Xenopus tropicalis: one gene and its partner. Each later gene encodes a partner of the first gene's protein in a complex. Links are inferred from orthologs where the notes say so. Each region holds a gene or a part of one and is shown in the gene's direction. Other genes may lie near its edges.

Region 1 (11,001 bases):
TTCCATTTTGTCCCATTTGCCCGCTACTCCCGCTGTCGCGGAAATTCCTCCTGCTGTGATGGTTCCTCTGCCAGCGATGTCGCCAGCTCGTGAGCCACGAATACCTCCTCCTCCGCGCTACAGTGGCAATCCGCAGGCCTGCAGGGGATTCGTGACTCAATGCCAGATTCAGTTTGTTTCAGTTTGAGAAGCTTCGGAGATGCCTTTCCGGCCTATGTCTGTACTGCGGCGGACAATCCCACTTAGCGGTTTCCTGCCCTGTCAAGCTGGGGAATACTCCTGCTTCAAGTAAGACTGTTGTTTCTTTTGCTGGTAGTATTGTTCCTAAGTCAGCGGAACAATCTCACCAATTTCATGTTCCTGTGCAGATCCGGTTGTCCTCCCAGGCAATTCCAGTCTCAGCCTTCCTTGATTCCGGAGCTCCAGGAAACTTTATGGACTTGGCATTCGCAAAAAAGGTTGGCATTTCCCTCTTTCCAATGACTCGCCATCGATGACAGACCTCTCTCCACGGACACCATCACTTTAACCACCGGTGAACTATCTGTCCAGATTGGAGCACTACATCTGGAAAAGATGTCATTCCTGATCATTCCATGTCCTTCGTCTCCTGTTGTGCTGGGGTTGCCATGGCTACGACTCCATAACCCCTCCATTGACTGGTCATCGGGTCAAATCTCCCGTTGGAGTCAGTACTGCCAAAGACATTGTTTAATTCCTCAGCCACTCCAGCGGGTTACAGTCTCCTCTACGAGTCTTTCAGCTCTGCCCTCCGTCTACAGGGACTTCTCTGATGTTTTTTGTAAAAAGTCAGCAGAGTTTCTTCCCCCGCATCGGCGGTATGACTGCCCTATTGATCTCCTTCCTGGAACCATGCCACCCCGTGGGCGGACCTATCCCTTATCCCCTGCAGAGACGGCTGCCATGAAGGAGTATATCTCTGAGAATCTCCAGCGTGAATTTATCCGTCCTTCTACCTCCCCAGCAGGAGCTGGCTTCTTTTTTGTCGAAAAGAAGGACGGTGGACTCCGCCCCTGTATTGACTACCGGGGTCTCAATAAAATAACTGTTAAGAACAGATACCCTTTACCCCTTATTTCTGAACTTTTTGACCAACTTAAAGGGGCCAAGATTTTCTCTAAGTTGGATCTCCGCGGGGCCTATAATCTCATCAGGATCCGAGAGGGCGATGAGTGGAAGACGGCTTTCAATACCCGTGATGGGCATTACGAGTACCTCGTGATGCCCTTCGGCCTCTGCAGCGCTCCAGCCGTCTTCCAAGAGTTCGTTAACGATATTTTTCGGGACCTCCTGGGGAAGTCTGTTGTCGTGTACCTGGATGACATCCTTATCTTCTCTCAAGATTTGGAGACCCATCGCTCCCAAGTCAAAGAAGCCCTTTCTCGCCTTAGAGAAAATTCTCTTTTCGCCAAGTTGGAGAAATGCACTTTCGAAGTACCAAAGATCTCCTTCCTGGGCTACATTATCTCGTCTAGGGGCTTCGAAATGGATCCTGCCAAGGTATCTGCTATCCAGAAGTGGCCACTTCCCCAGAGTACTAAAGCAATCCAGAGGTTTATAGGATTTGCGAACTATTACCGCCAATTCATTAAAGGCTTTTCTTCCCGCATTTCTCCTATCCTTTCCCTCATCCGCAAAGGAGGGAGACCCAATTGTTGGCCTCCTGTGGCCCTTGAAGCCTTCCAGTCCCCGAAGGATGCCTTCATTTCGGCCTCTGTTCTTCGACACCCAGAGCCCTATTCACTTGGATCCCTACACTACAGGCAATGTGGCCTGGGAGAAATATCTCCAGAAAAACTGCAAATCCTATGAAGGAGCTCAATGCTGCTCATTCTAGCTCAGCCCTAACTGCCTTACACTCCTAGAGCGTACTATAAAGGGAGCTACACCTGCCACTATCTAATGCCTCATTCACGGGGCCCTGTTCCCCGACTTCACTGGGCCTGGGCCCACGCCCTGGGCTCTCAGCACACATCCACCTTGTCCCTAAGGTGGCAGCAAACAAACAGGAAGGTGCCACTCCTCTCCCCACACTATAACAAAGTCAGGCAGGATGTGGTCACTATACCTTCTAACCAATAGCACACACATGTTAATGAACTCACTTAGATACATTCCCTTCTGCCCAGCAACTAAGGGAACTGAACCTGTAGGGATTTAAAGCCATAGGGACCATTTAACCCTATGGGTCCCTACACTGTCATTTACAAACAAGTTTAAAACAATTCAAAATTGATGTATACTGAAAAATTGCTTAGAATTGCATTAGACCATCTGGCCAAAATGAATGCTTGCATTTATTCCCTTTAATATATTATAACTACTTAATGTAGTCTGCAGCTTTGCTTATAGGAGCACCAAAGATTCAGTTTATAAACCAATGGCATTACTACCTTTGCTCTTATATCTTCCACCATAGGAAGCAATATCTCCAAAACCTAGCACAGGGTAACCCTGAAGCTACTGCCACCCCAAATGTGTTGGCACCTCTAAGTTTCCATGGCAACCTGCATCATGTGCCCTGAGAATTGTACACAGATGTTAAATGATATCATGACAAATAAAATTTTCTCTGCATTGTGTCCAATTCAAGTCGAAGTGCAAGTGCAAGTGCAGTTGCATGCTTCTTAAGCGCATTATCTGCAATTGAATCGGGTGTGTTTCCCCCTCATGACCATACTATAATAAAGGTATGTGAAAAAAGTGAATAAAAAGATAGGATGTGCTCAAACTTTGCATGTTAAACTTGTCTTTTGTCCTACAATACATATTGTACAATTTGGCTAAATATTAAAGCTTGATTAACCGACCACTAGGTGGCACTGCAGACCTATGCAGTCTGGTGGCAAATGGACCAAAGGGAGTCCTCAATCCAGACTGATTTCATGTTTTAGCCAATCAAAACTGCTAGTACTGAACTAGTAAAACAGTGCTTGCTTGTTTGAGGCAGACAGGCACCAACAGGAGCTAGGGGGCAAAGTGGAACCACAGAATAGACCCCTCGATCACGCAACTGAAAGTAAATTATCCTTTCAATCTTTGTTTAAAAAGTATATTCCCCACACTCTAATACAGTTTCAGTTTTGATCTATATTAGAAGAATATATTAGCTTAAAATATTATGAATTGTAAAGCTGGAAGTATAGCTCACGTTGTTTTTAAAGGCAGAATTATTCTTAATGAGTTATTGCTCAGATCTGTTTTTAGCAACCTGATCATCTGTATCAGGCTTTATTATAATTTCAGGGTAGTTGTCTCCACCTAAATATGAAGCCAGTTGTTTGGCAATAGCTTGCATGTGTTCTGACCTGTGCACAAAGAACACACATTAGAAATACATAGCTGTAAGGATTACTTTACTTACATGGCCGCATTCTAGTGGCAAAAGACATCAGCATTTTCTGTGGAATACACTCCTTCTATTCCATTGTATAGGTGCTAAATAAAAGGTGTAATTTATGTATGTAATAAGCATCTACTAAGTAGTAGTAAGGTTAGTTTGTGGTTAATTAATAATGCTTTAAAAGAATGTTGTCTATCATAGGTCTGAATGTTTAAATAAGGAGACCAAGGGCAAGGCCCAGACTGGCAATCTGTGGATTCTGGCAAATGCCAGAGGGGTTGCTGTAAGATGCCATAGACAGTCACTATTTAGTTGGCTATTGGGGGGGGGGGGGGGCTGTTTGGGCCTCTGTTTACGTAAAATGCCAGGGCCTATTTTGACAGAGTGTAACTGCTGCACAGCTATTTACACCACTGGGTTCTTCAGGTTTTGTACTTGTTAAATACAAAGCTAAAGATGTAATAATCAAATCTTTAATCATTCTTTCGCCTACTGACACTTTTTCCTTTTTAGTACAAACATGCAATAATAAATCTTGTTCAGATGAACCACACACATATCCTAAGCTGAAGCTTTTAATCTCTCTCTCTCTCTTGCATGTTCTAATTGCACCCTGCTTTAACTGCCCCTTAAAACTGGATTTTGCTAAATCAAAGAGCCGCCACAAATGGTCACCAAAATTCCCTTAAAATTCTTAAGGACATTTAGGCGTTTTTGGCCTATTAGCATTTGGGTTGCTCTTGAACTGTATGACAAAAATTGTGTGTTATATTATTTTTATAAGGGTTTTCAAATTTGTATTCAATATTTATAACTAGTGACTCTTGGATGAACTTGGGTGTAATTTTAATAATGCTTTTATAAAGATTAACCACAAGCCCCACCCCCCTTCCCCACCAATATTCTATGGCCTTTCATTTGTTTTACTGAGCTTGTGGGCTACTCCTACATGGGTAACATATAAATGAATAATTTGTGACAATGCCAGGATCTCGCTATTATAAATACACAGAATTACAATATGTGTAATAAGGAAAAGCAACTTATATTTAACATGTGAACACAAATGGATTCATTTTTGTGCACCTTCACATTTGGAAGATAAACATGGCAATTTAATATTAACTATATTTAAGAGATCATTTTTTTGTTCAATCGAAGCATACGTTTACTTAGATCACTCTTTTATTTACTTAGATCGCTTTTTTAGTCAGTATGGTTTGATATACACTTATTAGTGATTATCCAATTGTGTGACTATGTTTTAAAAGTATTAATATCTATTTTTCTAAATTCAGGATCAGTGCAAATCATGAAGTGAGCCAATGTGGCTTGTGAATTGGGCTGTCATACTGCCATTTCCTATGATTTAAGCCCCTTGCAGGACAGCATCATTTCAGTACCTAAGTACCTAAGCTAGCTGTATAATGACCAGGGTGTCAAGGCTGTATTTCTAAATAAGCAGCTATCACACAAATCCAGAAATATAATATAAAAAATCAAATCTCTAATTCTTCTATCATCTATAACAACCCGTAGTTATTGGTTTGAACACATCATTGTTAATAAAGAGAACATTTACCTCGTAATACAAAAGTTAAAGAACAAAACGAAACGCTTTAGCACAATTTTATTACTGAAATCTATGTCTCCCGTTTTTTATGTTTCACGATATAAAAGGAGCCATGTTTGTTTACAAGTATCGCTCCTCCCACTAGCGCCAGCGTAATGACGTTACCGCGTACATGCGCAATCACAGCGAATATGGCGGCTCCCTAGGAGCGATTGGTGGGAGGTGTTCTGTTAGTCTGTCGCTAGGGGTAGCTGGGAACAGTGGGCGGTGCTTTTCGGAATAAGGGCATTGGTTGGTGGGGACTGAGGTAGAATTCCAGGAAGGAGCTGCGGAGGGTTACACGTGGGTTAGCGGTACCGAAGACCATGAAGCTACTGACGCATAATATGTTGCGAAGCCACGTTTCCGGGGTGACCCGGGGCTTCCCGCTACTCATCCGGGTATTTGTTGCGCTTTGTGCATTGCATGTCACTTACTGATATTTCATTTACTAGTATTCATTGGCTCTACCCCTGTTGTACAGCCAAAATGGGATTTGTGTAGCAGTAACTGTAGTAGATACAGCCCTGGCGTTGTATCCCCTTTATAATAAAACAGAATAAAGCAATGTTGGGGCCAGTCATCTGCTTCATCAGTCCGTGGTATTGGTTTAATGAAGGAATACAGACTGGGGTGCTCTCTCCTTGTAGGTTACATCGTTTATTAAAAACTACGGCTGTTCCTATCTGAGTTATTGTTAGTAACAGTGGCACCAAGGAGAAGGAATAATGGGTTTGGCAGGGTCATTGGTGCCGCTGAAATCAAAGCGTAAGGCTAAAGCACACAATGACCTTTGTGACAATTAAATGCTTCCTACTTTGTGGCAAGGGATTGCGGGGAGACCCTTTCCTGTCGCACGATTATAATGTCCCCTGGGCACAAAGCAACATTCATACAGAGTCCTGACCTCATCCCAACTGAGCACCAGGGGGATAAATTGAAATGCTGACTGTAACCCATATCTATATTATCATTCCTGATCCACAGCATCAGTACCAACCTCATCATGCCCCTGTGCCTGGATGGAAGCAATCTTACCAACACTGTATTAGCAGTTAGTGGAAATCCTTCCCAGAAGAGTAGAGGCAGGTAAAGCAGCAGTGAAGACCAACTTTATATTAATACCGTTGGTTTAGGAATGAAATGTTGGATAGGCACTTTTGTCCATATAGTGTGCACTGGGTTAGGAATTGAATTCCAAAGGTTACAAGGCTGTCAGCCATATTTCATCTGGGTCCATAAGGAAAAGGGTAATGCCTGTGCATTATTTGGCTCTGGGTTGGGCTCACCTCTGGCAGCCACTCCTACATTGACTTTAATGCTAATTGTCTGGACCCTGTCAGTGTACTCACAGGTTAGGCAAATATTTAGAATCATGGCAGTGACCTGCCCCCCAAGCATAACATGATGGACGAGGTGGCACCCCAGCCACTGGGTAATGCAGAAAGGGTAATATATATGTGTGATAAATAATGCACAGTGACTGGCAAAATAAATAAAACTGGTGGCTGGCTGCACACGTGGCACAAGCTAACATGACAAAGACCACAAATAGTTGACTCAGATGTTACCATTTAATGAGAATGTCTTTTTTTCCCACAGGCAGAGGAGGTCAAGCTTAGTGCTGTTGATTTCAATCAGGATTTTGTGACTCGTATGATTCCTAAACTGGAGTGGGGCGCTCTTGTGGAAGCCGCAGAGAGTGTGAGTACAAACCTTTGTGGGACTGTGTTTTCCACTTAGTTGATCTAAGGGCAATGTCACACATGGTGATTTTCTAATGCAGCAACGTTGCAGCAGCAAAACCCCATGAATTGCTGCAAATTGCTTCTGCGTGATTATTTCATTAAAGCTTTCACACCCACATTTTTGTGTAATAACTGCAAGCACATTGCATACTTGCAAGTGATTATGTTGTAAAGGCATTAGCGGCAAAGATACTCTTTCATCAAAGTGAAAATTTTCACTGGAAGGGAATAGACAATACAGAAGGAAATGGCTGGAACAAGGAGGTAAGCAGCACCTGTCTGGGTGCAATTTAAGGAGGAGCAAATGGCAAAGGGCAGGATCAAACAGAAAGGAGCAGAAGGAACAAGTGTCAGAGAGCCTCTCCAAACTGAGCAGGGGAAGTGGGTTGGGTGTGGGGGTTAGTTGTGTGTTGCAGCCTGTGGATAGATCAGGTGGGGGTGCAGCAGCAATACTACTTGTCTTGGTTCTGCTTAAAGCTGCACCCCCACAGGCAGGGGGAGTTACGTTATATGGTAGCTTTTCATTTTTTTTAAGTGCAGCGGTTAGACCATTATTATAATTAAAGAAATCTCTAAGCGCTTGTGATATGTAGTAAATCTTGTGCTCTCATATGCTGATTGCGGCATGGGTCAGTGATTAGAAATGGCAGCCTGCCCAATAGCATGGTTGTTTTTGGCAGGTTATGTTGAGGAAGTGCATTTATAATCCATTTATATCTAAGAAAAAGGCAAATAAACACACTTGTGGAAAAAGATGTATTAAACATTCTCTACATTGTGTTTATACATTGTTTACCTTTGAGTAAACATTTAGTATGATGTAGAGAGTAATATTCTGAGACAATTTGCAGTTAGTCTTCATTTTGTATCTGTAGTTTTTTAGTTATATTACTTTTTGCTCAGCAGCTCTTTAGTTTACTAAGTATAAACAAAAACAATAAACCTGTAGCCTCACAGAGCAATAGTTTTGTGGTTGCTGGGGTTGGTGACCCCCATTTGAAAACTGCTAAGAGTTAGAAGAAGGCGGCAAATAATTAAAAAACTATAAAGACCAATTGAAAAGTTGGTTAGAATTGGCTATTCTATAGCATACTTTAACACCACACTGCTGGGTCAGCTTTAATGGCATATCTGTGACAGACAGGAGTACTATGCTCATTATCTCTTTCTATGACAGGAGGACCCAGTTGTACACTCAGTGCAAAGATGCAACCTATGTATCTACTGCCTCTCTCACCTCCTGTTTCATTTGCTTTATAGCTTGGGCATGGCTCAGATCTACCCCGAGAGTTGGAGACAGGATACGAAAAGAATGAAGATTTCTTGAAGAAAGTTCACCACGTATTATTGGAGGTAATAGTTCTTACAAACACCAGTAAATGTGAACTGATTTTGTAGTGTAGAATATTTTCTCTCCAATTTCATTTTATACCGTAAATGTCTTTTTTAGGGCAGTGAAAAAAAATTCTTTGCCATTGTGCTGAGAATCGCTACCAGTAAATCACTAAAATGTTGTCAAAATACATACAAAGGAAGGTTTGCCCAGTATTATAAAGAGGTTGTTCACCTTTAAATTAAGTTTTAATATGATGTAGACAATGATATTCTAAGAGAAGCAATTTGTCTTCATTTTATCATTATTTGTGGTTTTTCAGTTAATTAGCTTTTTGTTTACCAACTCTCCAGTTTGGAATTTAAGCAGCTATCTGGTTGCTAGGATCTTGATAACCTTAGCAACCAGGCAGTAGTTTGAATGAAAGACTGGAATATGAATTAAAGGGGGTCTGAAAAGAAAGATAAGTAATAAAAAGTAACAATAATAAAATTGTAGCCTCACAAAGCGATAGTCTTCTAGCTACCAGGGTCAATGACCCCCATTTGAAAGCCGGAAAGATGTAAAAGAGGAAGGCAAGTAATTTGACTATTTACAATGTTGCTAGAAATAGTTTAATTTTAATATGTTACAAAATGTCCTAACTGGTTCCCAGGGTCCAAATTAGCCTAGCAACCAGACAGTAGTTTGCATGAGAGGCTGGAATATGATTAGCAGAGGGGGAAGAATAGAAAGATAAATAATAAAGTAACAAGGACAAGAAAATTGTAGCCTCAACGACCAATAGATTTTGGCTTTGAAAAAAGTAGAAAAAGGCAAATAATTTAAAAACTATAAGAAATAAAAATGAAGAGCAATAAAAAAAAGTTGCTAGGAATAGGCCATTATATAATTTACCAAAAGTTAACTTAAAGGTGAACAACCTCTTTAATTGCAGCAATTCTCAGCACCCACAATGACTAGGGATCTTCTGGTATTTGTTACCGCAACAAAACATGATTAACAAAATCCCAAATGATGTATATTTAGGGCAGGAGAGTTTCCGAGGGCTAAATTCACTTTTTGACTTTTTTTTTAAATAGATAAACATAAAAGAGGAGGTAAAGGGATGGCTAAAGTTGGTCATATTCCTAAATAACATTCTTTTTGTCTCCTAGGTTGAGGTCATTGAAGGTGCATTGAAATGTCCAGAATCCGGCACAGAATTTCCTATCACCAGAGGAATCCCCAATATGTTAATTAATGAAGAAGAGTCCTAATAAGCACAATGTTTCCACTTATGTAAATATATAACCCAGCTGTTATTTTGTGTGTGGTTTCAATAAATGTTCTGTTTGATTATTGCTGTACACTTGTGTGTGTTGTGCTGCACAGAACACATATAGTGAATTAACAGACACAGCATGAAATCTCCCTGATGTTTATTGCAGTCCAGGCTCCATTGGGCCTTATCAGTATACAAGGATCTAAATATATTTATAAGCAATGAGGTATATTACATATCCACATTATTCTATAGGTTTATATACAGGTGGGGCTCATGGTGGCTTCAGAGAACAGAAATAAAATCATAGAAATAAAATGAATACAGCAATCAATGCCTAAATTAATTAAACATAAACACAGGCTTGGGCTCTGGAAATTGTGGTGGAAATACAGAGGGAAAAGGGATAATTAAAAGTAATATTAGAATTTTACTGAAAAAAAGTGCATTGTTGGCTAAATGGTCTGCAGAAAAAAAACATTATTTTGTGAAATGTGGGCATATACCTTATGTGGCTTATTGCCCATTTCATTTTCCACAATTATACTAATGATTGTTATCTTATACACAAAAATAATAATAATAATACAATGATTTCACCCTCTGGCAATTGTTTTATGACCTGGTACAGTGACACTCGGTGGTCTTTGCACTTATTGCAGTATAAAGTTTCCACGGATTATACCTTACTGTAGTGACATCTAGTGGTCAGATTGCATAACGTTTTTACAACCATGTTGTATAGTGCAGTCTTGATGTTTGTTTTACAGAAATGAGCTGGGGTTATGGTTGCACAGGATAACAATTTGACAATGAAGTAGGGCAGGGGGTTCAGAGAATACAACTTTACATATATTGTCTTATATATTAGGAGCAAACAATATTTATACTTTAAAAAATCCTTTAAACTGGCATGAAGTCACACTAAAGGCCTGTACATTAAGTTGGGATGTTGTACCTGAACTACAGTAACAATATCATACTCAGCAGTGCCAACATTTATGAAGGGGGGGTTATGGTTTGGAGGTTAGTAGCTATAATTTTCAGGGCCATGTACATAAACTGCATTAAATAACTACCCTCCAACCACTCTGATATGGCTTATTGCTAAATACAGCCAACTCTGTTCATGGCTGTATCCTATTCATTCTGTGTGGCCACATCCACCAATGCTGCCCAAATCTTTGTTCGGTATATTTTGTCAGGGCAGTGCCTATTAGGCACATTCCCTGATTTTCTTCTCCTGCTCAGTCCATTCTTATCCTTTAGAGTGCACGTTTTGGTTTTTGTGACCCCATTAAATAGACTGTCCCTTTATTACTATTGGGGCAAGTTTATATATTCCTAAAAAGTCTCTGATTTACATCAGTCCATCATAGCCTCCAACATCTCCAGAAATAGCTTGTGCATGGGGACAGCGCCCTCCTCTCGCAGCGCATGAAAATGCTGGAGGACACGACCAGCTGTCTGGCGCAGTAGTGGGAGTGTTAGAAGCAGCTTGCCATCCCTGCAGGGCTCCTCTGGGTGACGACCGGATTCGTATTCACTGAGAGCTTCTTGCAGGGCATCACGGAGCCGCAGAACTGCATCTGGATCCTCAATGTGCACAGAATCTGTGGTGAGAAGGGTATATATGTAACGCATTGCATTCCTGCTCTGCATATGACATACACATTCTAT
Region 2 (9,167 bases), on another chromosome or scaffold:
TTTACACCACAGGTGGGTACATTCGCTCATCTCTTTCTTTTCAGCACTTTTTGTATTTTCTTATTTATAATTTAGTTAACTGTTAGTTGTAGAATATCCTTTTTAACTCTTTAATTGGTCTTCCGTTTTTATTTGTTATAATTTTTGAGGCCCCCTCCTAGTCATCTTCAAGTATATTATTCAAAGCCCTGTCTTATTGCTAGGGGAACCTGTACCCTAGCAACCAGATAGCTGCTAAAATTCCAAAACTGGAAAGCTGCTGAACAAAATGCTAAATAATAAAAATAAATAAAGACCAATTTCAAATTATCTCCAAATGTCACTGTCTACATCATACTAAAAGTAAATTTAACTTTTTAAATTTAAATTACAATTTAATGTTAGTTATTAAGGATTTACTTTCTTTGCCTTAAACATATAATAGAGTATTGGTTTGGGGCCTAATGTAATGTTTGATATTTTCTAGGAGGTGGGTGCTGTTATTGGTGGATCTATAATAAAACAGTTTGGCTGGAAACCTGATCTCCGGATGCCAAGTCTAGAGGTATGTTTACTATTCATTAATTGGAAAATGCCAGCTCTTGGGATTTTGCTGCTCCTCCAGTGTGGGCAACAAAACATTTGAATCTTAAAATCCCGGGAAAGGCATTTCTGGTGATTATGCAATGTTAATGTTTTAGCAGTAAATGTTCACATTGACTTTTATACAAATGCATTTTCTGATGTTTTGTCTCCTGCACTGGAGGTGATTTTAGTGCAGGTGACAAAATGTATCCTTAAAGGAACAGTTTAGTGTAAAAATAAAACTGGATAAATAGATAGGCTTTGGAAAATAAAAAATGTTTTCAATATAGTTAGTTAGCCCAAAATATAATCTATAAAGGCTTGAGTGAACAGAAGTCTAACATTATAGCCAGAACACTATTTTGTTCTTAACAGCTGTTAGTCAGCCACTTGGGAGCCATATGGTATATAACTGTTATTTTGCTTTTGATCCTGAGCACATTTTTTATTTTATACAATCTACTCAAATTTTGTGGATTTTTTTTTCTTCTGGTAATTGACCAACTGTCCCAATCACTGATTTAAAGTCACAAGCCAACCCTTGCATATAAGTCCCTTGAGTCCAGACACTTAAACATGTTGCCATGCTATTGTGCAGCACTTCATAACAGTTACGTTCTGGTTTTTCACCTAGGTTTTTGTACATTTGAATGATCTGTATTCTGTGGTTGGGTTTCCAATCTCCAGGTAACTGTTTTCTTCTTATACCACACCTATCTTTCAACAGTATCACATATGGTCCTAACTTTGTCTTCCTTTTGTGTTATTCTAGTGATCAATTTGTAAAACTGCAGACACCCTACAGTGTTGTGTATTTTGTAGATTTTCATGCCTTCTTGATATTTTTGTAAATCCACACATATTGCACTACATCCCTAGGATCCCTCAGTTTTCAACATTAATTCTTCATAGCCTGACTGAACAACACCATACTACGCTACTGCAGAATTTTTCAATAATGTAAATATTATAAGAAAAGTAATAAAACAGCCCATATTGATGGTGTTGTTTTGTAAAAAAAAAAAAAAACAAAAAACACAATACTTTCATTCCAGTCGTTGGTAAACCTGGTAATATTGGATAAAATTTTCTAGGTCAGAGATTCTAAACCTATGGGTTAGGACCCCAGTGCTGTTCAGCATGGGCCTTTATAATCTCCTTAATAATGTGACATATTTTTCTGCAATAAAAAATTGTAATTCAGATGCATAACTGGTTCAAAACCAAATTTTGGGTTTCAGATTCAGTTGAAAAGAATACTTCAGATGTTATACAGGCTGATTTTTTTTTTTTTACAATAGAATCCATATAAATAATAAATAATAAAGTGTTAATAAATAATAATAAAGTGTTAAACCATATTACTATCCTAGTGTTAGTGACTAGGTCAATAACGCTCACAGATGGGGTTCCTCTGTGTATGTCAGTGTATCATGGGTAATCAGCTGTCATATTGTGTAAGCAGCTGTCATGTTGTGGCCTTTGACTTAATTTGACTTTATCACAGAGACAAGGCTATGTAAGTAAATCAAGATATGTTTCCTTTTATGGTTTGCAGGCAACCTTTGGCAAAAAGAGACTATATAAGAAATACAGGCCTAAGATCTACTACAGCTTGGGCTATGGGCACACTTGCTGAACTACATGTAAGTTGCTCCATATTCCCCTTTTTTAGTATTATTGTTAGATTTTGTAGTCAGACTGGGAGCAGCAAGAAATAAATGCCTATATTAAATCTGATTTATATGTGTAGCCTGTATATTTACTGTGTTAATAACAATAAAGACATTTTTTTGTAAATCTGCATAAAAAAATAAATAAAAGTATTTCACCAGCAGTGAAATTTGTGAGGGCAGAAGGGCATTATAGTAATACTAAAGTTAATACAGTCATAGTGTTTGGGGAATAATATTTGTATTGAGTTAAAGAATCAAAACCAAAATTGTTGCAATACAGTACCATGGCACACTGTGATATCACTAATGTATTTTAAACACTAATGTATTTTATGTTTCTGTTGTTCAGTTTGACTTAAAGGAGAAGGAAAGGTAAAAAGTAAGTAAGTAAGCTTTATCAGAAAGGTCTATGTAAATACAGCCATAAGCACTCACAGAAATGCTGCATTGAGTCCTCTGTCTAAAAAAACACATATGTACACATGTTATTCTGTGTCAGACTTCCTGCTCTCAGAAAAATTCTTCCAGGCAGGGGCAGGAGTCTGCTCAGTTTGCTCCTCCCTTCTCCTCCCCCCATCAGAATTCACTCCCCCTCCCATAAGAATTTGCTCCCTCCTCCCAACTTGTGTAATCTGAGCTACCAGCAGTCAGATCTGCAGCACTGAAGCTACTGAGACCAAGGTAAAATGGCAGCTGCTATCTTAAACAAACAGAGGGAGCTTTTAGGGCTGTTTACTCGGGTATGGTAAAGCTTTCAGCAGAATAAATATTGCGTTCTAGCTTGCACTAATGTGGCAAATCTGTTGGCAGTAAAATGCCTAAAATCCTTTTCCTTCTCCTTTAAACAATCTTAGTCCCTTCTCAGTATTGTTTTACATTTTTTATATGTACCCAGAGTTCTGTTTTCAGGATTTGTTAATCCATAATAGATACTAGAGGCAAAGTCAGTATGATAATTCTAGTACAAAGAAGCACACAGGGCACCTTTGGTGCAAATGCCATTTATGAATGAGCTCTGTATGTGCATAAATCCATTCCAATATACTTTTAAATAAGCCTTTCTGTCTCTAATACAGTAAGTCTTCCTCTGTACCCATCAGCAAGAATATTTTAGCATTTAATGTTCCTGTTTTATTTGTAGGTAGGAGCACTTGTTCTGGATCCTATGTGTGGTGTGGGAACAATATTGTTGGAGGCTGCAAAAGAATGGCCTGTAAGTATGCAGCAAGTGTTGGAATTTGACTGATGTTTTTAACTCAATTGAACATCTGTTCTTACAAGCTTTAGTAAACATTTATAAAAGAGAAAAAAACTGAAATGAATTCAGGCTTTACTATAAAGTTTCTTAATACACCTGTCTGCAAATCTTAATTTTAAAAATTTCAATGCAATTCCATAGGGATAAAGGGGTAACCAGTTATATTTTAATTAATCTGTATTAGACCAGAGATAATGAATGCCACATTTTGGAGTTCCTTTCAGCATTTGCAGTTATATTGCAAAATGTGAACTGGCACTTGTGACACCCTGTGGTCTGGTACTGTGACCTACTCTGTGGTCAGGAAAAATCAGCATGAAGCAAAAATCGCAACACTATAAAATAGAAGGCAGTACACTTTTTCAATGCAAAAAGAAGATGCAAAAAGTCCCCTGTCTGCCTCCCTAAGGCCAGTTTCACATGTGGCCTGGGTGCAGACACACAGAGCGGATTGCAGTGCCAAAATGAATAAGTGAGACTTTATACGCCAAAATCATTTCCTTGTGCCTGCCCCCCAGCCAGTGCAGTGACTTCGGGTACAGGCACATTAGAAAGCAGTAGCGTAGGGGCAGATTCTTGGCCTCCATTTTTACGCAGGCCGAGATTTCGCTATGTGTGACACTAGCCAAATGGATTACAGTTGGGTCTGACTTTTATTATACAGGAGTAACAGGAGTTAGGTCTCTTCCAGGTCTTTCAATCAACTGCCTTGTTTCAGGAGTCAGATAATGTAGACAGACTGACACTGCTTTCAGCTTAAATTGCATTTACAAACAACTTTAAAACCACTGGCATTTTTTAACAAATGCATATTGGGATGTTGCTAAGAATTGTTTTCACTATACAAAATGCAGTTTTTGGGTGGAGGACCTCTTTCATTTTCCCTAGAATTATACTAATTAAGGACACAACAATATCATATTTATAGTATGGATGACATACCTGTCACATAATGATTCCATGTATTCTTTTACACGTTTTGTAACATTGCTACAGTGTAGTTTTATTTTTGTTTGTATGTATTAATGACAACTGCATATTTTTTTTTCTTGCAGTTTGGTCACTTCCTGGGTGTTGATAATAATGATTTACAGCTCGAAAGTGCAGTTTCCAATGTAAAGGGGGCTGGTCTTGATGGCGCTATAGAGTTACTCAAAGGTTCCGTTCTAGGTAAAATTTAAAGGGATAGTGTCATGATTTTTATAGTATACTTTTTATTTCTAAATTACACTGTTTACATAGCAAATAATTCACTCTACCATTTAAAGTTTTATTCCTGAAGCAACAAATGTATTTTTTTAGTTGTAATATTGGTGTGTAGGCAGCCGTCTCAGTACATTGTGCCGGATTCTGAGCTTTCACAAGGAGCCAGCGCTACACATTAGAACTGCTTTCAGATAACCTATTGTTTCTCCTACTCCCATGGAACCGGAGGAGTCCCAGGCCGGACTTGGATTTCTTACTATTGAGTACTATTCTGATATCTACTGGAAGCTGCTATCTTGCTACCTTCCCATTGTTCTGCTGATCACCTGCAAAGGGGGAAAGGGAGGGGGTGATATGACTCTAACTTGCAGCTCAGCAGTAACATGTGTCTGACGTTTATCAGAGCGCTGCGGAATATGTTGGCACTTTATAAATAAATGTTAATAATAATAATCTGGGACTTCCAAGAATGAAAATACTTTAGTGCGCATAGTTCTTATTCCTGTATTTTATTTATTTCTTTTAATGGCAATTAAAATACTTAGGGCTGTGGCTCATGAGAGTCTCAACACTACAATGTGAAACAATCTAACTGGATTTTCCCAGTAACACTGTGCTGAAGTTTTCTACTATACATATCATTCTGACTTTTTGCCATTCAGCCCACTAGCCGGATGTATTTGTATGTAAGGCTGAGCCAATTCTACCTTACAGATAAGACATCATTCACATCAATTCCAGCACCAGTGGAGCTTCCCATTATATTTACACAAACTGAGGTCAGTTTTATCATGATCAAATTAACCTGCGTGTAAGGTTTTGGAGTGTGAGAGGATACCAGTGTCCTGGAGGAAACCTACACAGAGATAGGTCAAACATAAAATCTTTAGAGAAATAAACAAAAATTTAAATAAATATCCAACTTTTAATATATGAGAAAGGGAAATCCATATGGAATAAAAGTAAGGGTATACTGGTCTTTTAAGAATGGTCTATTATAAAGTGTATTTTAAATAATTAGCAATTCCTCTGTATCTTGTAGATCTGCCATTTGTCTCTGAAAGTATGGATGCAGTGATTTGCGATATTCCCTTTGGAAGAAAGTTCACGTCCTCGAAAAATATGAAAGATCTTCTTCCAGATATCATTCGAGAAATGCAAAGGTATTTTATTCCTATGGTTTTTGTAAACCAGACACATTATGAATATGGTTTGATGAGGCTGTGATATACACACCACCCATTATCTGAGGTGGCTAAAAGGGTGGGTTCTAGGTTACTTGGCTTGCAGTAGTTTATTTGTAATATAGGTTACTGTAAAGGAGACATATTGGATAAATGGAAAAAAACCCTAATTTTGTAGGCAATTATGAATAATATACGGTGCTGGTTTCACTTTGGGCTAAACATTAATCCTATCTGTGAAAATGGCCCCTTTATTGGAGCTCCTTATAGATCCTATCAGTTCTCTGTCTGTGTTTCAAATGACGGGTGGGCGTGTCCTAACAGTCCCTGCCAGAAGCACAGCAGGAGGGGGATATTTTTATGGTGTAGTTTTTTTTTTTACTAAATTACACTGTGTACATTGCAAATTATTCATTGTACCATTTAAAATTTTATTCTTGAACCAATAAATGTATTTTTTTTAGTTGTAATATTGGTGTGTAGGCAGCCATCTCAGATTATGGTGATGATCCCGTGCTTTCAAAAAGAGCCATCACTTCACAATAGAACTGTTTTTTTCCTACTCGGTGGAACTGGACGAGTCATGTCCAGACTTGGGTTTTCACTGTTGAGTGCTATTCTCATGTTTATCATGGATCATGGGAGCATTTTAGCAATGCAGGTGGCAGGGAGCTGTTGATGTTACATTCCCATTGTTCTGCTGATCTGCTGCTGTTGTGGGGAAGGGAGTGTTTGCATATTTCACACTGCAAATTTCAAAAATAAATTTAAAAAAAAAAAAAAATCTGCGCCTTTGAAAAAAAGGGTTTTAATGCAGGATTCTGCTGCAGGGGCAGTGCTTTTAACTGATGCATTAGGAAAAAAACTAAGTAAATTCAAGGGGGAGATTAGCTAACGTAGGTAAAAAGAAATGACATTTGTTTCACCTTTTACTTCTGCTGGGGATTATATTTGATTATTAGTTTAGAAACAATTTTGTTGAACTCGGAAATAGAAATTTGTTATTTGTGACATGACACTCATTTTATCCATAGTTCCTTCCCTTGGCTGTCTGTGTGCTGAATTCAGCCTGCCTGTGACTATAAAATGATTCTGAGAATCTTAGCTTTGCAACAGCTGGAAGTCTGCAGGTTTACTTTCCTTGTCTGAGCTTCAGATGGAAAGGCAAGCTCACAGCAAGCAGCATTTTTCAATTATCGTGCAGGCGGCTCCATCTGTTGATCACTGCACTGGCCTTGATTCCCTGGGGAAGCACAGCTGCTTTAGGTGTAAAGGAATTACAGGAACCATGGCAGTTTTCACACAGTTTTATTAGACACACACTATATGAAAGGGCAGTGTATTTAAGAGTATGTGTGTCTCTGTACAATCCCCATTAATAAGACCCCAGCAACCAGATAGCTGCTGAAGTACAAAACCAGAGAGCTGCCATATATAAAGCTAAATAACTGAAAAACCACAGAAAACAAAAAATGAAGACCAATTGCAAATTGTCTCAGAATATCGCTGTCTACATCATAAAAGTTAATGGTGAACCACCCCCTTAAAACACCCACAAAAGCATTTGCTTGACTTGTCATTTCCAGTGCTCACTGTCAAAATGATGTCTGTGCACAATCCTTTAGGCACAAGTATGGGCTGCTGTGGGAACCCTGGAGCTGCTGACTTCTTCAGAGGTGGCGGTAGCTCCAGGGTTCATCTGCATTCATTTAGTGACAGGAGGTGGAAAGGACCGAGCGCAACTATATGGACATGCAAGGTTTGCCTTTTGATGCAAGTACAGGTATGGGACCCATTATCTTTCTATAATTGGAATCTCCATACTTTTTTGTATTTACTTAAACATTAAATAAACCCAGTAGGACTGTTTTGCCTCCAATAAGGATTTATTAAATCTTATTACAAGGTACTGTTTTATTAACACAGAGAAAAAGAATATAAGTATTTTAATTATTTGATTAAAATAAAGTCTAAGACAGATGACCTTCCCATAATTTGGAACTTTCTGGATGATGGATTTCTAAATAATGTATCCCATACCTGTACCTTTAATTATTTTGCACAACGACTGGTAAAATTTGTGCATTTTTACTCGTAAATGACCCATTCAGATTCCTGCTGTGTCAGCATGAATGCATTTTGAAAATTATAAATCCAAATATTATGTATTGCAGAGTTGTGCGTGTAGGAGGGGCAATTGTGTTACTGCTCAGCCAGTGTCTTCATCATCACCTGAAAGTCAACTTTCACTTCGGTGCTACTGACAATAAAAACATCACTCACAGTGGTAACAATTCCGTTTCTGAGGAGAATGGGGATAAAGAAGCTAATAAAAGAGATATTCTCAGCAGAACTCATTGGTTTGATTCTTTGATTGCACTTGAGTCACATTCCGTAAGCCTTGGAGTAACTGAAGCTGTGATATTCAAATGTAAAAAAGCCCCTCCCTCTTTGTCCTTGTAACCCATTTGTGAAATCAAAGACTGATTTTTTCATGGACACTGTTTGCTTAGTCAACAATATATATTTTTTATAACCTATGTGCTAGGTAGACTTTTTAAGTCTCTTATCTAAGTTATTTAATTGTGGCTTGGAATGCAATAAATTCTTTATTTTTAATACTGGCAGTTTTATTCTACATTACACAGGTATAAAGACTTCTAAAAAAACAGACATATTAATATATAACATACCGTATATAAATTATAATATATAACTAATAAATACGACTGTGCAAATACCACAGACACTTACAGAGTAGGTATAAACAGCCTGATTAACTAACTGACACATCAAAGTTGTGGCCTAAAGCAGCGCTAACACTTTCTACATAGTGGGTTAAATAACTAATATTTGACATGTATTTAGGCCACGCTAATAGAATACAGCACTAACGTATCATCTCTTTTATGCTTTACAAATCACATATTGCTAGAATTTCGTTTTTGCTAAAAATATTGCTATTACTGGAGAAGCAAACTATATCTACTTGTGAATACTCTTCTTATACAGGAAGATCCTACAGGGGCAGTTCAGCTTCACATTAAGATGACTACTTTTCAGCCAGTTTCTATTCTTTATTTTTAATCAGTTTGTAATGATTCCCTTCCTCTTTGCACTTTTTCCCCCCCAAATAAAATCCGGGTTCTCCCTCTACACAAAATCACAGGTCTGTGATATACATGCAAAATCGCATTCACCCGTGGGGCTCTCTGTGTAGAGGAGGTGCGTATTCCATCCACCAACACAGTGGAAACATTAAACATGCCTTATTATTTG

Evidence for each region. The genes of interacting proteins can lie anywhere in the genome.
Region 2: trmt112 (region 1) and thumpd2 share a complex: the UniProt entries of both Homo sapiens proteins name them as parts of the heterodimeric THUMPD2-TRM112 methyltransferase complex. The link is inferred for Xenopus tropicalis from reciprocal best matches to the Homo sapiens genes TRMT112 and THUMPD2.

The regions. Positions count from the first base shown.
Region 1 is NC_030680.2:35,169,384-35,180,384, forward strand, and holds trmt112 (multifunctional methyltransferase subunit TRM112-like protein), read left to right. Parts: upstream 1-5,273; 5' UTR 5,274-5,302; coding exon 5,303-5,377; intron 5,378-6,578; coding exon 6,579-6,680; intron 6,681-7,984; coding exon 7,985-8,077; intron 8,078-9,214; coding exon 9,215-9,316; 3' UTR 9,317-9,398; downstream 9,399-11,001. Other genes in the region: esrra (steroid hormone receptor ERR1), read right to left, coding at 10,687-10,934. UniProt on the Homo sapiens protein: Acts as an activator of both rRNA/tRNA and protein methyltransferases. Together with methyltransferase BUD23, methylates the N(7) position of a guanine in 18S rRNA.
Region 2 is NC_030681.2:42,408,283-42,417,449, forward strand, and holds the end of thumpd2 (THUMP domain-containing protein 2), read left to right. Parts: coding exon 1-12; intron 13-466; coding exon 467-544; intron 545-1,198; coding exon 1,199-1,251; intron 1,252-2,122; coding exon 2,123-2,210; intron 2,211-3,381; coding exon 3,382-3,453; intron 3,454-4,553; coding exon 4,554-4,668; intron 4,669-5,746; coding exon 5,747-5,867; intron 5,868-8,062; coding exon 8,063-8,351; 3' UTR 8,352-8,507; downstream 8,508-9,167. UniProt on the Homo sapiens protein: Catalytic subunit of the THUMPD2-TRM112 methyltransferase complex, that specifically mediates the S-adenosyl-L-methionine-dependent N(2)-methylation of guanosine nucleotides, most probably at position 72 (m2G72), in the U6snRNA of the major spliceosome.